3 linked regions of the Oryzias latipes genome follow. The protein of the gene in region 3 purifies or fractionates together with the protein of the main gene of each other region. This does not show direct contact. Links are inferred from orthologs where the notes say so. Each region holds a gene or a part of one and is shown on either strand. Other genes may lie near its edges. The genes, in order: narfl, ireb2 and fam96a.

Evidence for each region.
Region 1: the proteins of fam96a (region 3) and narfl purify together in Homo sapiens (affinity purification with mass spectrometry; 4 studies listed by BioGRID and IntAct, with this or other methods). This does not show direct contact. The link is inferred for Oryzias latipes from reciprocal best matches to the Homo sapiens genes CIAO2A and CIAO3.
Region 2: the proteins of fam96a (region 3) and ireb2 purify together in Homo sapiens (affinity purification with mass spectrometry; 3 studies listed by BioGRID and IntAct, with this or other methods). This does not show direct contact. The link is inferred for Oryzias latipes from reciprocal best matches to the Homo sapiens genes CIAO2A and IREB2.

What each region holds. Positions count from the first base shown.
Region 1 is NC_019866.2:12,256,629-12,262,324, forward strand, and holds the start of narfl (cytosolic Fe-S cluster assembly factor NARFL), read left to right. Parts: upstream 1-2,183; 5' UTR 2,184-2,241; coding exon 2,242-2,307; intron 2,308-3,053; coding exon 3,054-3,149; intron 3,150-3,282; coding exon 3,283-3,426; intron 3,427-3,498; coding exon 3,499-3,625; intron 3,626-3,712; coding exon 3,713-3,847; intron 3,848-4,446; coding exon 4,447-4,565; intron 4,566-4,639; coding exon 4,640-4,769; intron 4,770-4,847; coding exon 4,848-4,920; intron 4,921-4,992; coding exon 4,993-5,130; intron 5,131-5,215; coding exon 5,216-5,373; intron 5,374-5,466; coding exon 5,467-5,696. Other genes in the region: transcription factor E4F1, read right to left, coding at 579-697, 951-1,047.
Region 2 is NC_019864.2:10,478,777-10,484,015, forward strand, and holds part of ireb2 (iron-responsive element-binding protein 2), read left to right. Parts: intron 1-1,603; coding exon 1,604-1,775; intron 1,776-1,872; coding exon 1,873-1,973; intron 1,974-2,115; coding exon 2,116-2,232; intron 2,233-2,318; coding exon 2,319-2,478; intron 2,479-3,449; coding exon 3,450-3,585; intron 3,586-4,148; coding exon 4,149-4,233; intron 4,234-4,324; coding exon 4,325-4,481; intron 4,482-5,239. UniProt on the Homo sapiens protein: RNA-binding protein that binds to iron-responsive elements (IRES), which are stem-loop structures found in the 5'-UTR of ferritin, and delta aminolevulinic acid synthase mRNAs, and in the 3'-UTR of transferrin receptor mRNA.
Region 3 is NC_019864.2:1,197,323-1,202,561, forward strand, and holds the end of fam96a (MIP18 family protein FAM96A), read left to right. Parts: intron 1-957; coding exon 958-1,007; intron 1,008-2,947; coding exon 2,948-2,993; intron 2,994-3,130; coding exon 3,131-3,231; 3' UTR 3,232-4,090; downstream 4,091-5,239. UniProt on the Homo sapiens protein: Component of the cytosolic iron-sulfur protein assembly (CIA) complex, a multiprotein complex that mediates the incorporation of iron-sulfur cluster into extramitochondrial Fe/S proteins.

The sequences.
Region 1 (5,696 bases), on a different chromosome or scaffold from region 3:
AATGATACAGAGGGATTAGAACACACTGTATGGGTGTATGTCTTCGCAAATTTAAGTATTTCCACACATTAGACTGAATGATGGCTTAATCATTTTTTTGCTGCCATTACGACCAAATGGTATTTTCCAATGTCGATTATGATCTGTTTATTTCATTTAGAAATTATTCTATAATTTCTAAATGAAATAAACAGATCATATATACATATATACATATAGGTATAGGTCGATTTGATCAACAAATGGCCTCAGATACTAGATTGATCTGGTTGGATCGTAGAATTAGAAATCAATTAATGAATTAAATGTTACACCCCCAATGAAAAACATAATACTGACTGACTATCAGAAATTTAATTGTTCAATTTGGATTTATCAGTTTACAATTCTATAAACAATTCAGATAAATGGCTTACAGATTTTTTTCTTATTTGTCCTTCCAAAAGAAAGGGATGGAATGTAAACATAAGAATATCGATTCAGGAATTTCTCAATCATTTCAACATTTTCTGAGTGAAGATTATAGACTCAAGTTGATTCATCAATACTTTAAACATAGTTCCAGATTTAGCACATACCTCTTGATTAGCAGTGTGGTCAGTCTCCACCCGTTTACAGTCGTTATGTAACTTGTGCTGGATAAATGCTTCAAGCGTGGAAAATTCGGATTGACAGCGTCCACACTTGTGTACATCGTCTAAAAACACAAAGACGAAGCATATTTAGCTACCATTAGCTTAAAAAACTATCTAGCACCAAAAAGCTATCACCTGCTTATCTGGGCATCTTTTAAAAAGGCCGCTGACAACTCAAACCTGCAGCAAAGCCGTAAACTAGATGTTGCTAAAGACGAATTAGCAACAATTTCGCGATGGAGGAAGTTAGCAAGGCCCAAACTACGGACAAAAAACCCTGATTTTGGGAGTGTTTTGAACTGGCTGAAAACTAACCTTCATCTCCAAGGGTGGTTTGAATGGTGATAGTCTCACTGCCGTTCGTCGTTCGCTCCTTCTCTGTTTCTGCCGTATGATTATTTTCTGCATTCATGTCGTTTGACTTCTCCGTCTCTGTCGCAACGCTGTGCTGGGGAGGGAAAACATGGCGGATTTACGACCCTGTAGTCATAACAACAAAAGAGCGCATGCACTCGCATGCAGAAGATAAAATAATAAACGAAACATTTAACCACAAAAATAAAAAGGCATTCAAAAAACGATACATTTGTTATTATTATTATTATTTATTTTTTATTATTTTTTTGTTGAAAGAAAACGTGATAAAATCGTTAAAGCTGTCGTCATTTATATTTGGATTTTTACTTATATTTCATTTGTATTTTTGAAAAAATATTACTCTATAAATGTTCCAATAGCGATAGTAAAAATATTGGCATTTATATTGACAATGCACATTTTACTACATAGAGATGCAGTATGTCAAACACACAACCATCATCACGAATAAAATGTCACCTCTTAGTGTAAACCACAAAGATTTTCTATTTAAAAAACATTCCATTTTTAAAATTACTCTTGAATTATTTAAGACTCTTCAAATTACTGTATGATATATTTTAGGATGAGCATCTGACATCTTTTTGTCAAGATTCTCTCAAGGCACTTCACAAAAAGCAAACTGAATGAAGCAATGTTGTTTTATTCAGACTTTCCCCTAAAGTTGTACTAGATTGTTCAGTATAGGTTGTTACAATCTGACCAAAATTCCTTTGTTGTATTTATATTTTGTCCCTAATTAAGTGACCAACATATTCTAATACAGGTTCTTTTGTGTGTTCCACTTGACATATAACTAATAAAATGCAAACTTTAAAAAAAAAAATATTACATCTACAGAAGAAACTGTGCAAATACAAACAATTAGCACAATCAAGTTAAAAGTTGTTCTAACTAATAGAAAAAATCTTTTGACAAATTACAAAGATATAATCCATTTGCAAATCTGCAAATTAAATTACACAAAAAAGCCTTTGTGATTTGTGAATACGATTTGAATAGATACAACATAAAACAACCCAAGTATTTACCAGATACTGTGGTAAAAAAAATGTATTTACTTATTTTATCTTAGTTGACAAATGTTGCACATACAGAACATGCATGGCAAACCCATTGACTGTATGAGAGAATGGGGCAAACTATTACTATTAGTGGAGCCTGAACGTGCTCTTCCAGACCAGCATTTCACGACACAAGAGTAAACAACGGGTTTGCGGCAGTAACTATGGCCTCTGTCTTCAGCGGTGTACTGCAACTGACAGATCTGGACGATTTTATCACCCCTTCCCAGGTCAGTGTCAAAAATAATACTTAAGTTTATTCTAGAAGGACATTACAAGCAGAGGAGTTTCGCTTATTTCCCAATCAAAATGCTAAAAGCTCAGTTCGCTCTTAGGGAGCTAAGCTAGCATGCTCTGGTGGTGGTAGTTGCTCTTGTAAGTGCTGTTCCTGGAAGAAGAAACCAAAACAAACAGATTCTAGTTAGCCTTTACGTTAGTAAACATGTAGTGTTCGTTTCTAGTTTTTACATATATTACTTTCGTCTAAAATTACAATTCATTGGCAGCAAAAATAACGAATCGGTTAGCTTTTGTTTTGCTAATGGTAACACAGATGTCAAAACATGGAAAGAAGTTGCAGTATTGATCGGACTTTCAAACAGACAAAAGTCAAAACACATGGATAAAACATGTCTTTACTTCATGTATTCGTCATTCATCCTGTTGCCACTGACTTTTGTTTTGAGCTCCTGTAACCCCAGATGCTTGAATGATGCCCCTGTATCCCCTCCAAACTTATGACTTCTCAAGACGAAAATAACACTTAAAGGCCTTGTTTTCTCCACCTACATTTGGTCAATGATAAACTATTACTAATTCAATGTGATCAAATCTAAGCTCTCTGATCATTCTGACTTTTGTGGTGTAAATTTGCTTACAGTTCTCCCATCCCATTTTTGCATGTTGACAGAAACTACGTATCAGGTTCAACGGTTGTTTACCTTTTTGTTTTTTTCATATCTGTGTTTTTCGTTAGGAATGTGTCAAACCAATAAAAGTCGAGAAGAAACAAGGCAAATCTGTGGCCAGAATACAGATAGAGGATGATGGTAGTTATGTCCAAGTCAACCAGGTGAGGATTCACACTTATTTTTGCCTTTTAGTCTGAGGTATTTGAATCATGAATGGACTTCATAGAGCAGACTGTCAGAGTACCAAATGCAATAATTTAGTATCATGCTCATGGAAGTGTCTTGTGTTGAAAGGATGGCGGGAAGGAGAAGCTGGAAAAAGCAAAGATCTCACTGAACGACTGCTTGGCGTGCAGCGGTTGCATCACCTCAGCTGAGAGTGTCCTCATCACTCAGCAGAGCCCCGAGGAGCTTTTAAAAGTGCTTCGGAACAACAAGGTAGAGTGTTTTGCTCAGTTTGTCTACTTATGGTTGGGTTTGTGTTCCGCTTAAGTCTTCGTTCCCCCACAGGGTGCAGCAGAGCAGAAGACTGTGGTGGTGTCCGTGTCCCCGCAGTCCAGAGCGTCCCTCGCTGCACACTTTGGTATCAGCAGCAGTGAGGCAGGAAGGAGGCTCACCTCTTTCCTCAAAAACCTGGGTAACGTTTCCCTCTTTTAATGTTTCATAAATCAAGTTGAAGCAGTGGCTGTGTACGTGTCTGAAAGATGGTCGCTTTTTTTTACAGGGGTTCACTATGTGTTTGACACCAGCTTTAGTCGGACCTTCAGTCTGCTGGAAAGTCAGAGAGAGTTTGTGGAACGTTTCCAGAGGAAGGGACAGGACAACAAGGCTCTGCCCATGTTAACCTCCGCCTGTCCAGGTACGGACATAGAGCTCCATGATAGAAAATAGAAGCCAAAACTTCACAACTTCTTTGAAAGCTTTTAGCTTGATTTGAATGTGGAACGGAAACCACATTTGTGTATTTATTTTGTTTTTGAAGGCCTTCTATTTCGTATTTTATATATTTATCAAAGCCTAATAGTGAATGTTCATGACATTATCTTTAGCTCCAAAAGCTTAGACAGAGTTTTCAATCGGAATCTCAGTATCACCACTTTGTTTCAGGTCCTTGACGTTTTTTAAGGGTATCAGTTTACGCTCTTCTTTTCTCTGAAAACGTCTCTGAAAGGTTGAGGTCAGGACTTTTGCTGAGCTGTTGTAGCAGCTCAACCCCCCCCACCCCCCACCCCACCATGCTGTTAATGATTTGCTAGGGTGTTTGGGATTGACTCACATTTGACTTTGCGATGTTTGACCGTCCAGTTCATGACTGAAGCTGTGACAGCAGCTCTCATTAAAACTAAAAAAAGACAATTAGCACAACTTTTCTATAGGCTTTGGTTAGGAATGAAATAGTTGGTGCATCAAACGCTTTGAACTCCATTCAGACCAAAGTGTGCGTTTATGTGTGTTCAGGTTGGATCTGCTATGCAGAGAAGACACACGGGGAGTATATTCTCCCATATATCAGCACCACCCGCTCCCCCCAGCAGATGATGGGGTCTCTGGTTAAAAGCCACTTTGCAGAAAAGCAGGTGGGGTTTGGATTTCTCCGTTCTGTAAATATTTCAATAAAGACTAACTGAGCTGGATCTGTTTGTGCTGTTAGGGGCTGAGTCCTCAGCAGATTTACCATGTGGCTGTGATGCCCTGCTTCGACAAGAAACTCGAAGCGTCACGCTCAGATTTTTTTATGAACAAAGCGGAGACCAGAGAAGTGGATTGTGTCATAACGTCTGGTACAGTAATTACCCTTATAAGTAATACTTAGGTGCATATGCAGCATCCACATGGTTATTTGTCTGTCCTCTCTTCAGGAGAGGTTCAGAAAATGCTGGAGGAACATCATATTTCTCTGAATGATGTTGAGCCTGGAACTCTTGATTCGATGTAAGTTCCCTCTTTTTTTAAGAAAACTTTATCTCTCAAAACTCTTCTGATGCTGCCTATTTTTACCCTCAGGTTCAGCAGCGTCTGTGGGGATGAGCTCCTGAGCCACGCTGGCAGTGGATCCGGAGGTTACCTCCATCACGTCTTCACCTATGCTGCTAAGCAGCTCTTTGGAGAAGAAGTAAAGGAGCTCACCTACAAAACTCTAAGGTTTGCTCACCTATATAAATTGTGTCTTTTTACAAAAAAAACAAAAAGTTGCTTTTCTCATCTTCACTCTTGTTCGATGGCCCAGGAACAAAGACTTCCAGGAGGTGAGACTGGAGAAAGATGGGGAAGTTCTGCTGTGCTTTGCTGCAACATACGGATTTCGCAACATTCAGAACCTTGTGCAGAAACTGAAAAGGGGAAAATCCCTGTACCATTTTGTAGAAGTTATGGCCTGTCCATCAGGTATGATTTTTTTATAGTTGGAATAGATTAAAAAAAAAAAATTCTAACTTTGATGCAGATACGATACTTTTATCCTTCTTTTTATTCTCCCAGGCTGCCTTAACGGAGGCGGACAGATAAAGGCAGCCGCTGGTCAGAACCAGAAAGAGCTGCTTCAAAAAGTTGAGGAGCTGTACAAGGAAGAGCGCCCCCTACTGCCAGAGGATGACACTCGCGTGGCAGAGATTTACCAAACATGGCTCCATGGCGTGGGAGAAGACAGAGCCAGAGAGCTGCTGCGCACACAATACCACGCTGTAGAGAAGATGACCAACGGACTCACC
Region 2 (5,239 bases), about 9.3 Mb from region 3:
CATTTAGAAAGATTGTTTTTAAATGTAAAATATATTAAATTATAAAAATATCAATTAAAATGGACACTAACAGGCTCAGAATGTAAACAAGCTGAACAAAACCTTTGACAAAACTAAAGTCTTGCAGCATAAATCCACACATGGTACGGTCTTTTCTTTTCTTTAGACATTGCATTTTTATTTGGGAGTCCCAAAAAGAAAGACTAAGGATCCAGATCCAGGTTCAGTGTTTTTACATGTTTTATTAATTTAGTCATTTATATTTAGTCTTTCTTTTTTTATGTATATATTATGTAGAATGTATGTAATATATATATTATATTTGTATATAACTTTAAATTATTTTATTAATTTAACTTATTTCATCAAAATATACATTTTAATTTAATTGTAGTGATAATTACTTGTCATCACTCATGTTGAAAACGTGTTTTTCTAACCAAACAAAAGCATTTTCTAAAGTTTAAATTATCCATTGTTTCATTAAGCACAAATAAACCAGTTGGACTTTGAGCGTATGAATGACATTTTTTACTGATTCACTGTTTGAGCACTTCCACTTCTAATCATTTAGCATAATGAGATTATATATTAAATAACTCTCGGCTACGTAAACAGGCATTCCTGATAACGGGAGAAACCCATGTGATGCTTTTTGTAGCACTTTAACTCTTTAGGCTCGTTTAAAGGCGTGCAGAAGTTAACGCTGTATTCTAATGTTCTTGATCCCTAAAAAATAACCCCTTCTTTCTTTTCCCATTCTGTGAACTTTTTCCCCAACTCTCTGCATGTTTGGGAATAATCAAACACAGGCTCTTTATGTTGTTGATGGGAAAATATCCACTTCTTCCTTCATGACGTCTCCTGCTGCTGACGGTGTATTATTTAGAAAATGCTCCGAAACACGGGAATCCCAATATTCCTGTTCTTTCTGAACGTATAATTATGTCATTAAGGATATGACCCCACAGACTGAATGCTCTCTATTAGGTAAACTTAGTCACTGGTGTTGAGCTCCCTCAGCTTAAAGCACCAACAACAAAGTCAGTCAGCTGATTGAAACAGAACAGGACGTGGACTGCAGCAGGGGTTTTTCAACCTTTTTGGAGCCCAAGTACACTGTTTTCCTCGACAAAAATCCAGCAACCAAAAAAAAAAAAAGAGAGAAACTCTATGGTCTGTATTGATGTCCGGTCTGTCCACCATCTTGGTAGCATTTTTTGTAATAATTGAGGCAAAAATATTTTGAAGTTGCAGCTGTTTTTCCTAAAAGTTGCGATAATTTTCAATAATAACTTCTAACTTGAAAATAGTTGTTTTTCCTCTAGAGGAACTAGAGGAAAAACCTGTGGAATTATAAAAGTTCCAGTTCAAATCGGACTTTTACCACACAGTTGTAGTAAATAAATTTCTCATTCGTTCTGCTCCTTAGCTTCTTGTGAACAATGAAACGTTCCAGCGCAAAGAACTTTGTTTTTCTCCTTCCCACCTAACAAAAAAAAGGAAAACGATTCCTCTATTTCTGCAGGAGTTCTTCATATTTGGAATCATCCAGACCTTTCCTGAACACTGTGTTAACGTTTCTTTTGCACTGCTTTCTCAGCACTTGCGGCAGGCTGGCATCGCTGGGAGGTTCGTTGAGTTCTTCGGACCCGGAGTCTCCCAGCTGTCGGCTCCTGACCGGACCACCATCGCCAACATGTGCCCGGAGTACAACGCCACCGTCAGCTTCTTCCCCATCGACCGAGTCACACTCAAGCACTTTAAAAAGACAAGTGAGCCGCTCAGCGTTTAGCTGTAAAACCCGGACGCTTTGTGCTCAGTCTGTTGGGTCTCGGTGATTAAAGCTGTTGTTGGAACTCGCTGTTGCAGATTTCAGCCATGAAAAACTTGAATTGATGGAGTCTTACGTGAAGGCAGTCAAACTTTTCCGAAGCTATGAAGAACCTCCGGAAGACGTCCAGTATTCCGAGGTAAACTCCCCAAAATCTGCTCCTCCGTATCTAAACACTTTTCTTTCATGTTCCATCGTTCCTACATGGCTGCTGTTCTCCGGAGCGTTTGGCGCACCTCTTTCCACAACGAACTGATAGAAAAGCATTGATGCCTTTGCAGGTTATCGAGATCAACCTGAGCTCCATGGTGCCCCACGTCAGTGGCCCCAAAAGGCCCCAAGACAGGGTGGCGGTCAGTAACATGAAGGCAGACTTTCAGAGTTGTCTGGAAGAGAAGGTGAGCTGCAAAAGAACGCACACGGGGGGTTTAGTCAGGCCGAAGCGCCGCCTTTGACTCCTCACAAACGTCTCTCTCCATCCCAGGTGGGCTTTAAAGGTTTCCACATTTCCAAGGAGAAGCAGGAGACTCGGGTCCCCTTCCTGCACTGCGGTCAGGAGTACCAGCTGGTGCACGGCTCGGTGGTCATCGCCGCCGTCATCAGCTGCACCAATAACTGCAATCCGTCTGTCATGCTGACTGCAGGTGGGGGCCTGACTGACGCCATGAAGCGCTTTAGAAGTGATTGATTTACTGCTAGAAAATAAAAAAAAGCTTACAAACTGGTTCATAAAAAGCCACTGATGTCAGTGGTGGAGGAGAAGTAAAATAAGGAGCGACTCTACGTTCACACTGAACAAGATTTGCTAGCTTGTCTAAAAGTCTTTGTAAAGCTTTCTCTCCTGCTGTGTGTGTGTGGAGCTACCGTCAAAAACGTTTGGCTTTATCTCTGCATAATGGAAGACATAAATGATGTTTAGAGTTCACGTTTATTTGTTTTCAGGGGCTCTACAAAAGCCTCTGTAATCACGTCTCCATGTCTGGGTTCATGAGATTCTCTCAGTGCGGTGAGCTTCACCAAAGTCTGCTGCAGGAGCTGCGTCTGAATGTCAGCCGCTTTCAGCGGTACCTCCGTCTCTCTGTGAACCAGTTAACGACCTCCTGTCCCACATTAGTCCAAGGAGGGAAATAATAATAAATAAGAAAAGTATGATAAAGTTCAGGGGGAGAAGGTTCAGAGTTTTCGCCCGAGTCCAGATATTTGAACTCTAGAACCATCGGGATGTGTAGCAAAATCTTTAGCCTGAAACACGCTGCTGCTGCAGCATGTCTGACACTCAAAACCTCCAATCGCATTTGACCGGTGACTCCTTGCATTCGGTGTGAACGCAGCTATAGAAGACAAACTGATGATAAGATCGAGACAATCTTGTTTGAAAACCTCTTGTCTTCGTTCAGCCAGTAAGGGATCCTTTCAAGGCAGAATCTCCACTTCAGTAGAAAAGCATGTAGGATTTGATTTTTATGCCAAGTACTTTTATTTCAGCTGTTTAGGCTTGTTTTACTGATTGCAAACAAAAACATTTTTTAGCCTCTTTTATGCCTCATGCTCCTCTGTGCTGCCCATTCTCGCCTACAGACCATTTTATTGATTTAATTCTCGTCTTATTTTGCAGGTCTTCTGGCCAAAAAGGCCGTGGAAGCCGGCCTCACTGTCAAGCCTTACATCCGGACCAGTCTGGCTCCTGGAAGTGGGATGGTCACTCACTACCTCAACAGCAGCGGCGTTCTGCCTTACTTCAGTCAGCTGGGGTAAAACCACTGGAAACCACTGCTCTGGACCTGCTGGAAGTCAATGTTTTAGAGATTTTCTGTCCTCTGATGTCACTCCACTTCTACCAAGTTTAAAACAGATTCTATTCCATCTGATAGTTGCATAAAATCTGTTTTTTCCCCCTGTAATCTGACTGAACAAAAGCTATGTTTCTCAACCTGAAACTGGAAAAAAGGTGCTCTCTATCGCTGATTGTATGTTTGGATCCTTTAATTCTTTTTTCAGTGATATGATTATGTTTTCTCTCAGAGAGATAAGAGATGAAGAAACTTTATTAATCCTGAAGGAAATTAAAAAGCGGCCAGCTGCTTCCATTCAACACACACAATAAAAAAAATAAAGCCATAAAAGCCATCAATATTAAAAGCCATTAGTTTAAAATAGTAAAATATTTCAAATCTATGATAAATCCATAAAACTTCAAATTCAACGTTTGTTGCTCACTGGGGGAGTTTTTCCAGTAAACTTTCAGATTTGGTCTTTTTATTTTTTCAAGTTGTCTGGACTTATTTCACTAACGTTGGTGTTTATATCTCCACAGGTTTCAGGTGATCGGTTACGGCTGTGCCACCTGCGTTGGAAACACAGCACCGTTACCGGACGCCGTCGTGGACGCCATCAAACAGGTAGTTTTCCACCATCTGTGATCCTCCTCTGTGCTTTTTTTCTATTTGCTTGTTTGTTTTAACCCATTAATAATGAACGTCTTCATTTCAGGGGGATCTGGTGACCTGCGGTCTGTTGTCCGGCAACAGGCACTTTGAAGGACGCCTGTGCGACTGCGTGCGTGCCAACTACCTGGCCTCCCCTCCCCTGGTGGTGGCTTACGCCATTGCGGGCACTGTGGGAATCGACTTTGAGAAGGAGCCGTTAGGTAAGGGCGGGGATCTGCGTGTGAGGATCATGGGAGGATTTTGGTGCTTAAATCACAGTGAATGGGCTTTTTGTGGTGATTCAGTGTGCTGCACACACACACGTTTATGCAGAAATGACTGTTTTCTGCTCTGTTGTGCGTCTGAACGCCTCAAATCATCCAGCCGGCGCCAGCTGTACAAGTTATTTAAGAAACATGACCCGATGTTTGAAGCCACTCAAAAAAAAAGCTTTTTTAGACACTCAAGTTGATCAAAATCTGCCTTCTTCACACTTTTTCATCTGATTCAACAATCTCCCTCGCTGTCTTTTAGGTGTTGAGGAGAAAAGTAAAGTTTTGGTTTTAGGATGATCCTTCCAGGTTGGGTAATCTCCGACTTTGCTGAAAAAGAACGTTGCCAGCAATTTCTGCAAACTGAGCCTTTTGTGTTTAATCCTTAAAAAGACATTTTGTAAAACTTGACCTCATCTTTAACACCTCATGACAGCTGACCTTGTTTTTTGGTTTTTGATAAGGATGCTGGTCCTCTTGTCCTGCTGATGGACAAAAAAAACCCTGTTTTTGACAACTAAAAAAAAGAAATAAGAAAAGAAAAAAACCACATACATTTATATCTATATATATATATAGATATATATATAGATCAGTAAACCCTTGTTTTTCGGGGGGGTTACGTTCCAAAAAGAACCCCTGATAGACAAAATCTGTGAAGTAGAAACCTTTATTTTTTTTACAATTAAATTCTCTATTATACATTG
Region 3 (5,239 bases):
CGGTCGACCTCTGATTGGAAGATTGGATTGCTGGCACAACACTGAACTCCCCATTGCTCCTGGTGGTTATAGGTAGTGCCATCAGTATATGAATGGGACTGTGACTGTAAATCACTATGGACCTTCTAAGAAGGTACTAAAGCGCTATACAAGTATACACCATTTACCTTTTTTTCTTGACTATTAAACATACTACATAGCATATAATACATAGGTGTAAGGCCCTGAATCCCGGAAAAGACATTTAGATTAGGTTTGGTCGTTGTAGCTACAAAGTCATTCTGCTTCTAAATGGACGTGGGTCAGGGTGTTGGGTCTGCCGCCGTGAACAGGCTGGTTCTGGTCAGTGATTGTGATCACTGGAGCCAAGCAGCTGCAGTTGTAAACAGCCTGTACCACAAACAGATAAGGACTATGCTCAGGAATGCAGACTCACAGCAGGGGTGATTCATTAGAAATCATTGTATATAATCAGAGCGGTCCTAATGAGCACAAAAATACATTGTTGGATTGAACTAATAACACTTTCAAAAAGTTCCAGCTGCTATACTGAACATACATGTTTGTCACACATTTTTATTGTAAGGAAAACCATATTCTTAACTAATTATAAGATCATTATAAAAATGATATTATTTAGCATGTCAAATCATCGTGTGAGGCTGAAAGCTCTGTTGGAAAAGACACTTTCGAGGCTTCAGTTAGTTTCTATAACATACATTTAATATTGGGTTTTTGTTGATCTGTTGTTATGGTTAATCCCTAAATCTGAGCTTCCCTGATGATGACATTCTCGTGTCTGTGTGACAAATTCAGACTTGTCCTAGTTAGAACAGGTCAATTTTTTTTCTTATGTTTCCAGCTTAAACTCTGCCTATACAGCTTCGGCTAAGTTGGGCCTCTTTCTTGGAATAAGCTCCAGTGTCGGTTGTCTTCTGAACCTTGCTATGTTTGCAGGTTTGTGCCTACAAGTGAAGCTGCAGCGCTGTTTGCCTTTCAAACACAAGGTGAGCCTTCCTGTTGTCCAGCTGCACGCTGCCCCACACATGCATCTTCCTTCCTGCATTCACTGCGCATGCTTACAGAAAAACAGATGCAAACTTAACCACTTCAAGTGGAGCTCATCACTTTGTAATGGATGTGCTGTTTAGATGAACACAGTTCTTCATTGTTTGGCTCAATCTGTGAAAGGCTGAGTCTTAAACCACTTTCCACCCAAAGTCATGATCTGTATTTAGTTTTCGTGTGTGAATGGAAGAGAGTCCACTTTTGCACAGGTTATTTGGTGGCAAAAAGCATCAGTCTTGACAGCACGCTTAGCCAGCACAGGCTGTTCATTCCGTTGTACTATCCAGAAATATGCCAGGGTTTTAGAAGTAAACTCTGCCTACAGAGACCTGTCTGTGGGATTCTCTGTTAGGTTCTCCTGGTCAGATCCTGAAACCAAAGTAGGCACAGCAGTAAATGGGTTACGTATCCAGTCATGTGAGCCGTCAAGTCTCCTGGAGGTGACTACGTTACTGCGCCGCCAGCCCCAGATGTGTGTTAGTTAGTCTGAGGCGACATGCTCTCTCTAGGTTCAAGGCTCTGCATTCAACTCTTCACTCATCCCTTTCCACAGGATCATCACTGGCCGTGCTAGTTGCTGCCTATAGACTCATCAGTGCTAGCAAACCGATTTGATAAATACGTTTTTTAACCTATGAGGTCATGGTAAGAATGTCTTCAGCTGAGAGCTGACTGGTTGTCGAAGCTGGAGTTGGATGTTTTTTTTTTAATATCCAATTGTCCAATTCAGCATTGCTCTGAGAAAACTTAGTCACGTGCCAATCAAACATTTTAAACCGAATTACAATTTCTGATTGTTTCTCTTTCTCCTCTGATATACCCCCATGGCTTTTTGTGTACCCCAAGATTGCACTTACTGTAGTTTAAGAACTGCTGCTCCAGAGGTCACCACGTTAGCTTCAACACCTGAACATAAGTATATTTGGAAAATAGGAACTCCTGGTTCTGGTTCTAAAAGCAGTGAGTAGGCAGATAAGGGAAGTTAGTGTCTCATAGGGCTGCACGATATGAGGAAAACTTGCGATATGGGATATTAGTGATCAATATTGCGATAACGATAAATTTGCGGTAAATAAACAAATAGAAAAATAAACAAAAACATCATTCCCATTTCATTGCAACAGTTTAAAAATTATACTCCAAATGACCCTCATCGACATGGGGGACAAACGTCAGGGTGGCTAACCCTGGTCCTCAAGAGCCTCAACCCTGTTTTCCAATTCTCCCTAGACCAGAGGTGGGCACTGAGGGCCGCATTCCTGCATGTTTTCCAGCATACCCTGCTCTGGCATGTTCTAATTGGCTGGACACACCTGAACCAGGTAATAAGCCATGAGTAGGGAAAGGCTATCTTGAAATCATGCAGACACACCGGTCCTCGAGGCCTGGAATTGCCCACCCCTGCCCTAGACTGCTCGATAATGATAACCAAAATCAGGTGTGTTCAGTCAATCAGGATGTGAAATCACTTGAGTCAGCCAATCAACAGCAAGCTGGTTAAGGAGAGCTGGAAAACAGGCAGGGTTGAGGCTCTTCAGGACCAGGGTTAACATAATAGGCCTCCATCTGATTGGTCAACAATGGGAAGGCGTCCATCTGATTGGTCAAAGCATAAAGGGATTTATTTGATTCGTTAAATGCTTCAAGCTGCTAGAAGATTGTTTTAACACATTTTGGGTTTGCGATTTGTTGCGATATTCGCCATCTTTTGCGATATGCATATTGCAGAGCTGGATATTGCGATAACGATAAATTTGCGGTATATTGTGCAGGCCTAGTGTCTCATCTCTCTATCATCAGTACCAGTTTGTCTCTAGACCTTCACCTCTTTTCCTTCAGCGTAAACTGAAATTTTCTGTTGTCTGTCTTTTGTTTCAAGCTGGAAATTTACCTTTCAGAAGGAACCCATTCTACAGAGGAAGACAGTAAGTTTCTCTGCTGTCATGAAACTTCCCTCCATCAGGACACATGCATGTCTGTCTCATGTTCCCTGTTTTGATTTGTCACGAGCTTGGATGCTTTCATGCAACTTTTTGTCATTTCTATATTTTTCTGTGACCAGTAAACAAACAAATCAATGATAAGGAGCGAGTGGCCGCCGCTATGGAGAACCCCAACCTTCGAGAGATCGTGGAGCAGTGCGTGACGGAACCAGACGACTGAGCCTCAGTGTGTGTTTGTGCGTGATTGAATTGTCCATTTGAGCAAAGGACAGGATCAGGTTGGACCTTTTTGACCCAGAAGGAAAACAACTGTCCCTTTTTCCTTTTTTTTTTCTCATGCCGCAAGAGGGAAAATGATGAAAATGTTTTTGCGGAGAGAAACTTAAACTGATGCTTGAGAAGTTCTGATTTTCTTAAAAATGATTTGTACTTTTAGATGTTTTAAATGAATTAAAGCTGTTGCGTGTCAGTCTTTGTCTGAGGGGGTGGGGGGGCTAAAGGACATTTAAAAACAAAAGTAACTAAAGGCACATTCTATTCCCAGGGTCTTTTCCCAAAAAGCTAACTCAATAGAAATCCTGACCAAATTCAAGATGAGCTGTTTCACAAACTGGAAAAAGTCTGAGTTTGGTTTTGACTCCTCCCACTTGAGAGTCACACTTTCATCCCCACATAAAAACTGACGTGAGGCTGAGAGTGAATCATTTTTAGAGTTTCTAACAAACACTTTGCTATTCTTTTGTAAAAATAAGCCGTTGGTTTAGGAACAGAAAATGAATGCAGTTCTATGTTAGAAAAAAGTGATCTGCACTTATTGTTACTCTTCAATCTTATTGTCATATGCTCCGCACACTACAGATGCTGTTGGACACACTGAATGTTAATTACAAATCTGGGAGCCAAAATCTTTAAATGTGCAAACTTGACCACATCATTAGTTCATTATGGTATGCACATATTGATTTTTCTGTTCATCTTTGTGTCTTTTTTAGGGGAAGTTTTCCTCTAAGGGAAAAATGTCACATTTTGTTTATTGTACACACAAAATATTTGGAATAAAGTTTATGGCAATAGATTAATTGATTACAAATCCACCTCTGATTATTAGTTTCATTGTCTGTAGTAATATGGTATATACAGTGCTCAGCACTGTATATACCATATTACAATACAGTGTATTTTAGAATGAATGCTTGGATAGAAGTTCAAAATTCAACAAATGATCAAACAACTACCGCCCTGCCCCCCCATGTTTAACTGTGGATCCATACTGAAAATAGGGTTTAAAACTCTGGCAAGGTCCTATCTCATCACACATCGTGCAGTAGCTTTTGAGACTGTCAGACAGTCTCTACTGATGCCTGCATCTTCACTGTCTGTGACATGACAAGAATCAAAACCATTCCAAGGTTTTTGGGTTGGCCACAGGGACAAACATAGTTTTACAAAAACAGGCTTTAAATTGTAAGATGGCTACGTTTTAGTTTCTTTTTCTACGAGCTTTCTTAGCTCAGGTGACTTAATTATCTGCCTGCCATGAACAAAACGTAGATATTTGCTATTGTTTTGGTGGAAAATCCCACAAAATAAGATTTTGTGGACTAATCTTTATTTTGATACCATTTCTAGCAAAATATATAAACCCTTTTATACCGACGGCAATCATCAACTCTTCCTCCATTTGATTTTGGACTCCAGCCGCTAATAAGATCAACACGAAAATACCAAAGCGTAGTTCCTGATCTAGTGACCCAATGCAAAACTTCAGATATTTGAACTCTGGAAACAATGTGCTGTGCAGCCAAGTTTCTGTCACAGAGTGCAAATAGCTGAACTTTGGTGAAGCTTTGCATTGGGTCACCTGATGGAAGAGGAGATGATTGCAGTTTGTGGTTCTCCTGAACTTAATGATATTGTAATTGTATGGAGACCATACTGAAAAGGGTCTTGTTTTGTCTGCAGCTCCTCCCTCGCCCATGCTATGATTCTCTGATGCTATGTCAATGAGCTGTTTTGTGTGCGTCACAAGTATGTGACCACAAACTGGTTTAATGTCTGAAAATATTTTCACAGACCAGACTTTAAGATGTGGCAGATTAATACAACAAACTTAATTAATTGGACAGTCATTAAAAAAAAGATCATTTTAAATATAATAAAAGTCATGAATCAACTGTGAATGCAACTTTATCAGCAGCATCTCACAACAGAGCCAGTTTGTTTGTTTG